Linked DNA regions of Cricetulus griseus. The protein of the gene in region 2 purifies or fractionates together with the protein of the main gene of each other region. This does not show direct contact. Links are inferred from orthologs where the notes say so. Each region holds a gene or a part of one and is shown on either strand. Other genes may lie near its edges.

Region 1 (4,090 bases), on a different chromosome or scaffold from region 2:
CTGCCTTCTGAAGACATAACCTCTCTTTCTGGTTCCAGATCCACTTTGTTTCCTACTAGGATTAGTGGAACTTTTTCATATCTCTTCACTCTCACAATCTGATCTCTCATTGGCTTGATATCCTATTCAAGCAATCACAAAGGGAAAGAACACAATTATATGTTTGCATTCCACAGCAGACGTGTTACAATATCACAAAAATCATTCCTCGGTGATTATATAAAGCTAAAACCACATACTTAAATAACGACAACAATGTCATGTACCCCCCCTACGGAAGTGAGAACTAGATCATCTCCACAGGCACCAGCTGTGCTTTGGCATCAGGGATATAAGATTCAAGTTGCGCACTCACCTTAAAATTCATCTAACCACTGCCCCCCACCCTCCGTCTAGTTCAATTAAAGAATCAAGTCCCCAAATATGATTCATCCATTTGTACATACAGATGTTTGGCCAGCTCCCTAAAGCTGCCTACTTGTCATCGCTCCTGTAACACCTGTTATCCCAGCACAAGACTGCAGCATGTAAGTAACTCCTAGTCATTTAGCAAGAGGACTTAAGAGAAAGTGTTTTAAGAGGGAACAACCCCCCCCCAAAAGCAACAACCCCCCCCAAAAAAAACCCATTTTAATAATTACAAATCCATTTTTGGAAACAGATATACACATAAATATTTCATTTTAAACTGGTTACTATGTCTTTAGCCTTGTAATGTCAACAACTGTGGCCAATGCATCTGGAGTCTGGATGAGAAGCTACATTTCTTTCTTCTCCCATTGCTTCCCTACTGATTTTTCTCATAGTGGTAAGAATCCTAGCTGGTTTTCAGTGATAGCAATTTTTGGAGAGAACTGAATTGATATAAGACAATATTATAGGTTTAGGCCCAGCATCGCATTTTTTTTTGAGTTTTGTAAAAGAGTTGACTTAAATATGAAATCTGCATTTGGGTAATTACAGTAAACAGAACACTCACACCCAGGTCAAATGTACCAATTCAGTCTTCTCTGAATTGTTAAGCTGCTTTTCTGGGCTTCCTTATGGAACAAGTTTAGCTAAGAATACCAACTTTCGCCTCAAAAGAATCTGACTCTGCTGCAATAATGCCATAGTTCCATATTCCCTATTTATGTCTATAACAGAAGTGGATTCAGTGGACACCTTAGGAAACACACTGCAAAGACTTCCAGCCTCAGGAGAATCTGCTGATAACAAACAAATCTCCTGAGGATCCCCTAGATAGAAAATACCCTTAGTACTTCCTGGGGGAAATGCTTTTATGGTACTTTTGTTTGGAATTTCTATCTAGCTAAAACATCCTTGAATTCATTTACCCAGAACTTACTATCCTTACAAAGAAGTTCTTGAAGTTGTTACAAGGTTACTGGAAAAATTCCGATATAGCACTTTACCCTCAACTCCTGAAGAATGTGAAACTAGCACATTACACGGGCTAAGGCACTTAAGATTCCCTAAGTAAGCAACATTGAGTGCATACCTTTAAATGCAGAAAAAAAATAGCTGTTTCCTAAATCAATGGTAGTCAATATTAACGGGTCAATATAAGGTCATCTATTTTCAAAGAATAAATAGCACAATTACTGCATCTCTTAAAATAACGTTAACTTCAGTCTGTTTCCCAGTAAAAGACAGGACGGATTTTCTGAAGCAACTGGACCAGATCCAGGTTGGCTACCCCACTGGGATAAGAAATCTGCCCGTGCTCAGCGTTCCCAGTTCCACATATTTTCTTTAAGTATAGGCTACGATGGCAGAAACGATTTGGATCAACGAGAGAAAAGGAGGGTCATTCTTACTTTCTGTTGATTATGAATCCTAGGTCCTAGTCTTTTAGACTAGTAACTTCCTTTGCGGTGCATTCCCCCAAGTAAAATACCACGAAAACAGAACTTGTACTCATTTTGCAGCAGAGATTTAGGATTCCAGTTGAGGAACTTAGAGGCAAACAGAAGTGGAGGAAGGAAAACCAGGCACACAGGTTTTTATCTATGTGTAAGAGATAATGGGCTTAACAATTTCTTTCTTCGTGCTCCATTTGCTTGAGATTATCTATGAAATGTTTTGTTGAGCACGTTAATCGATACTTGTTGAATTGAATAAGCAACTTCAGGTTATAGCGACGGCTAAATATACGCAAGCTGACCCATTTCGTTTTCACTTTTCTTTCCCTTAAAAATAACTTTAAAATATTTGTCCTTTAGCACTCTCTCCAGAAATAACCCAGTGCTTCCCGTGCCATGCCAAACTTTAGAACGCCAAACACACTTATTAACACACAGCTCAAGCAAATCAGAAGTACATGTACAATTACCACACCCCCTTCGAAGAAATTCCAAGACTCGGTTTGATTACCTGAAAAGACTGTTGATTCACCAAACTATACACCAGGATGAACCCTTGGCCGTTTTTGATGTACAGATCTCTCATGGAGGCAAACTGCTCGGTTCCTGCGGTGTCCAGAATTTCCAGTACTGAGGGAGAAGAGTCCACTTCGATCTCTTTGCGGTAGAAATCTTCAATGGTGGGGTCATATTTCTCAATGAAAGTCCCAGTGACAAACTGCACCGTGAGGGCAGATTTGCCAACCCCTCCACTCCCTAACACCACTACCTTGTATTCCCTCATGAGTCTCACCTTCACCAACTCCTGCCCAAGGGGGGGAAAATAACACCCCGCTAGCTGCGCTGCCGCAAGACGAGGCGGAAGGTGGGCGGAAATGTGCGAACTGGGGAGGAGAGTGCAGAGAAGCCGAGGGCCCAACCCCGGCCGAGGAGGAAGTTCCAGGAGGGGGAGGGGAGAGAGGCCGGTGGCGGCTGGGTGGGGATGGGAGGGGAATGCCCTTCCTATAGGAACCTAAGGCCGGCCCCGGGGGGCGTGGGGAGGAGGGAGCGCCGGCGAGCGGCCGAGCCAGCGAGCGAGGGAGCGAGCGAGGGAGCGAGAGCGAGCGAGCGAGGGTGGGGAGCCGCCGCGCACCCCCACGCGGGAAGGGGCGGGGGCCTCGCGGCCGGGGGCTGCCCGCCACCCCTCCCCCCCCCGCCCTGCACACAAAGGGGCCCGGGGGACCCCGCTTCCTGCTGGCGCCGCTGCCGAGCCGCCGGCCCGAAGCCTCGGGGGGGGGGGGGGAGGACCCCCGCTGTGCTCACCGCCGCCGGGGCGGGCTCTCTGGGCGCCCCCGTTCCCGCGGGGGTCGTCGGGCCTGTAACGGGGGACGGGGAGGGAGGGCAGGAGGGAAGAGGGGCGCTCGTTAGGAGTCGTCTGACCTCCCCCAAAGCCACCGCCTCCACTGCCTCCTTCCCTTGAGCCGCCACCGTCGCCGCCGCCGCCGCTTACCCTGCCGTCCGCACTCCCCCAGCCGCCCGGGAGGCTCTGTCAAGCCAAGGCCATGGCCACCCGGTCGCCCGGCCTTGATGCTAGACGACGGGAAAGGGGCGGGGGCCGTCCAGCGGCGGCGGCGGCGGCGGCGGCGGCAGGGACTCCAACCGAACCCACCTCTTTTTTTTTTTCTTCACCCACCCCCCAGCCCACCCCCCCCAGCATAAACCCGGAAGGGTTTCCCTGACACACTGGCTGAGGTGCCCCAATTCCCCGAGACTGGACGCGTTCACTTCCGGTGGGGAAAGTCCCACCTCTTCTTCGGGGCGAGCCGGGTGGCGCTAGGGCCGCGCCCTGCTGAGCGAGCCAGGCTGCCTGGCAGGGTTACAGGGCGGGCAATGGCCTTGAGAAAGGGCGCTTCACTGAAACCAAAGGCTCCCTTGCTTTGGCGCTAGGAGCGATTGGCTGATTTTTCTCGCCCACTGGACCGCCCGAGTCCCCTCGGCTGCTAGGCGTTCATCGGCTGTTTCTGAGGACCAGATTCCCTCCTTGGCCAATAATCTGGCAGCCCAGAAAACACCAAACATCCCTGGGCTGGAAGTTGCTAGAAAAACCAAACAGTTTAGGAAGTTGATTCCCGTGGCTGCTAATTCTTTAACTTGCTATTTTTTTTTTCCTGAGCAATGCATGCTAGCGACCCTCAGAGTTGATTTGGACTCTGGCATTTTTACTTGGTGCCTTGGTCATATATGCC
Region 2 (3,560 bases):
CAATAGGAAGCACCTATAGAAACAGACCCTAATTCCATGGAGCAGTTTTCCCCTGTGCCCTTCCTTTGCTCCCCTTCTAAGACAGGTGGGTAGTTTTGTTTCATGTGTGGGGGTGGCAGTGTTTGTTTTTCTGATGAAAAGGCTTCTTGAAAAATGCTTTTGCTCTAGAGTGTTATTTCATATCTACCTCATGTTCCATTTCTCAAATGAAAACAAAAGTATACTGGAAGGTTGAAGGTATGTAGTGGGTCACACAGCTTGTCTTTGATGGAACTGGGGTAAGGATCTCCTGATCTTTTTGTCCAAATAGGATGTGTACAACTTCAAGTTTCAGTATGTTCCCACCTCTTATCCCTTCCTCAAAACTGGAGTTTGCACTAAGGACTTTAGGGATGTCAAGTTAGCGTCATCACCTCTGTGTATACTGCTTTATATGTAATTACTGCCTCCCATTGTGTACAGATTGGCCATTTTCTCCCACTGTCATGCCATCATCAGTCTGCCCATGCGCATGTGCCTGTGCACAGTACACAGACACACAAGCTCAGCACCAAGGGCCTGGGCCGATTTTCTTGTAGAGAAGTGCCCATGGTCTATGATCCTGATCATATCCTTCAGACTACAGTCATTCCGGGTGCCTTTGGAATCATCAGCAAGAACACAAATTTTGTTTGGTTTTTTGATTTTTGTCTTGTTTTGTTTTTAGATCTTAGACAGATTGGGGTTTTAGTGATTGTTTAAAATGATGCCTTTTAAGCAGATATTAACTAATAGAATCCCTTGATCCTAATTAAGCTCCTGTTTCTGTGAAGTCTGCCATGGTAAAAGGAAGACATCCCCCTTTAAAGGTCTATGTTGGATGTGCTAATAGTATCACGTACAGCAGTGCTCAGACACTGCCATGTGTGTGGCGGGGATGTCTTAGACTTCCTGCACTTCATTGGCCAGCTTGAAGCCTTTGCAAAAGTTCTCAGTAAGAGATTGCTTTTAGATGAGGTGTTCACTCTTTGGTGAGTTTACTGTAAAGCTTATTGGAGTAGTTCTTGGTTACCCACACAGGTGACTGATGCTTTCCTTCTGGATGTATTGACTGCTGGGTAATTTCTGTGTGACAGGAGTACATCAGGCGGCAGCTAGAAGAGGAGCAGCGGCACCTGGAGATCCTGCAGCAGCAGCTGCTCCAGGAGCAGGCCATGTTACTGGTAACGCCCCGCCCCGCCCCGCCTCTGTCCCATTCCCTAGCCACAGGGTCTGTTTCCCCCCTCCTCCCAGTCGGCCAGCTGTGGTGACTATCAGACCTTTTTGGTTTTGCTCTGGAAACCAGGTTCTAGAGAAGATGTCCTCTGTGGTCATGCTGTCAAGCACAGTGTAAACTGACCTTTGTTTCCCATTAGTAAGTTAACTACTCTTGTTTGGTAGATGCCTATCAAGTTTTAAACAGAACTTGGCATTCAGTGAATATGAAAACGCTGAAGGTATCAGGCTCACCATGCATGCTATAGGATTTTTGCTGAGTATGTGTGTATATATACCTCTGAATCAGATGCTTAATTGAATTCTTTTACTCTGCAATGATGTTTCAGTTAGAAAATGCTGTCAAATTTTACACAGGTAACATGCTATTTAAAATCCCAAACATTTGCCTTGCTCTTATACAAGAGGGGAAAGTGCAATTTAAACAAAAACCAAGAAGGGACCCGGAGAAGAGGTGAGCTCGCCAAGGTCCCCAGATTCAGTGTACCCTCTCCCTCTCCAAGGAGTGCCGATGGCGGGAGATGGAGGAGCACCGGCAGGCAGAGAGGCTCCAGAGGCAGTTGCAACAAGAACAAGCATATCTCCTGTCTCTACAGCACGACCACAGGAGGCCGCACCCGCAGCAGCAGCCACCGCAGCAGCCGCAGCAGGACAGGAGCAAGCCAAGCTATCATGCTCCAGAGCCCAAGCCTCACTTCGACCCTGCTGACAGAGCTCGGGAGGTATCTTCTTTCACTTGTTGCTTTAATGTTGGTCCTGAAAAAGCTCCGAGATGTTCCCTCGTGACTGATGAGAGCCGTGCTGTGAATGCCAGAATGGACCAGTAAAACCCGCCTTTGTCTTCCATGTGGAAGACATTTCCATTTCTCTGTTAACAAATATTAGAGGAATCAGAAGCAAAACTACACAAAAGGAATTCTTGGCCCCATCATCTTTAGAATGGGAATGAATAAGAGAAATGTTGGTCTGGTGTAAGACTACTGTGAGGATGAAGTGGACTTTTAGCCTGATTTCTTTGGATCACGTGGTGGTGCATTTGGTCACAGAGCCTCAAACTCTAGGCTGCAGCCAAGTGTTCCTCTCTGGGCTATACAAAAGGGCTTTGTTGCTTCCTGAGTACGGAGCAGTTCTGGCCTGTAGATGGCACCCTTCTTCTACATCCACTTTCACAGGGAGGAGAGTAAGGAAACAAGTTCTGTTCATAGTGTTAGAGTAATGAAACTGGACCCTGAGGCGGTCTTAGAGGCTGCTTTGCTTAATTTTCATTTTCATGACTTTTAAAAATCCTCTATCAAATCTTAGCCCTGCTTTATGCCAACCCCCAGCTGACTCTCTCTTTTCATGTAGCTGAAGAAAACAGCCTTTATCTTGATTGTCCTGCTTTTAGACTTTCTTCTTCATCTCTCCTTTCCCTACTAACATGGAGCTATCTATGTCTTCTAATTCTCTGATGCAGGTGGAAGATAGATTTAGAAAGACTAACCACAGCTCCCCTGAGGCCCAGTCTAAGCAAACAGGCAGAGGATTGGAGCCACCGGTGCCTTCCCGATCAGAGTCTTTTTCCAATGGCAACTCCGAGTCTGTGCACCCTGCCCTGCAGAGACCAGCGGAGCCACAGGTAGCAGCAGCAGCTGCCTTTGCTATGCTGAGGACGTGCAGTGGCTCACTGGGCCACACATTGTTCGTGTCATGTAGGAAAGAGAAGAGAATGGCTGTAGTTGGATAGCTAATGGAGGATATGCATTCAGCTGTAGGGAAAAGAGGGTATTAACTTAGATGTGAAGCCCCTCTTTCCTCTTTAACAAATGCCTTTTCACTAGGGTTTTAGAAAGTTGGTTTTATTGTGTAAGCATGTTTGAAGAGAAGCAGAAGCTCTTCTTCCTGACATTTTAAAGGAAGTACTTTACCCTTGTGGTCCCCAGCTCCCTGGAGGACCCTTGGAGGCTGAAGATGTCCTGTAATTCCATGCTGAATTCTATTTATTTGACCTAAAATGTAGATTTTTCTGGAAAAGTCTCTCCCCCCCCCCCCCAGATTCACAAACTCTTCAAGATTCACAACAGGTTATGACCAGTAGATTAAATACCGATTTCCTGGAGGAAGTCAGGAAAAAGGTTATTTATTTCCTTTCCTTTGGTCTGTACCATATTCTACCTTGTCTGAGTGGTCAAAGAGAAACTGCCCTGTTGTCTATACAGGAAAGTAGATGGCTGAGATGTCACAGGCTGAATGTCAGCCTCAAACCCTGGTTCTTGCTGTCTCCCTGAAGATGGTGTTTAGGTACTTCCTCCACACTGCTCTGTCCT

Evidence for each region. Proteins that work in one complex are often made in the same cells at the same time.
Region 1: the proteins of Map4k4 (region 2) and Rap2c purify together in Homo sapiens (affinity purification with mass spectrometry; 3 studies listed by BioGRID and IntAct, counting the BioPlex papers as one, with this or other methods). This does not show direct contact. The link is inferred for Cricetulus griseus from reciprocal best matches to the Homo sapiens genes MAP4K4 and RAP2C.

The regions. Positions count from the first base shown.
Region 1 is NC_048604.1:18,930,351-18,934,440, reverse strand, and holds the start of Rap2c (ras-related protein Rap-2c), read right to left. Parts: upstream 2,803-4,090; 5' UTR 2,650-2,802; coding exon 2,377-2,649; intron 123-2,376; coding exon 1-122. UniProt on the Homo sapiens protein: Small GTP-binding protein which cycles between a GDP-bound inactive and a GTP-bound active form. May play a role in cytoskeletal rearrangements and regulate cell spreading through activation of the effector TNIK.
Region 2 is NW_023276807.1:8,206,914-8,210,473, reverse strand, and holds part of Map4k4 (mitogen-activated protein kinase kinase kinase kinase 4), read left to right. Parts: intron 1-1,115; coding exon 1,116-1,202; intron 1,203-1,757; coding exon 1,758-1,976; intron 1,977-2,710; coding exon 2,711-2,872; intron 2,873-3,560.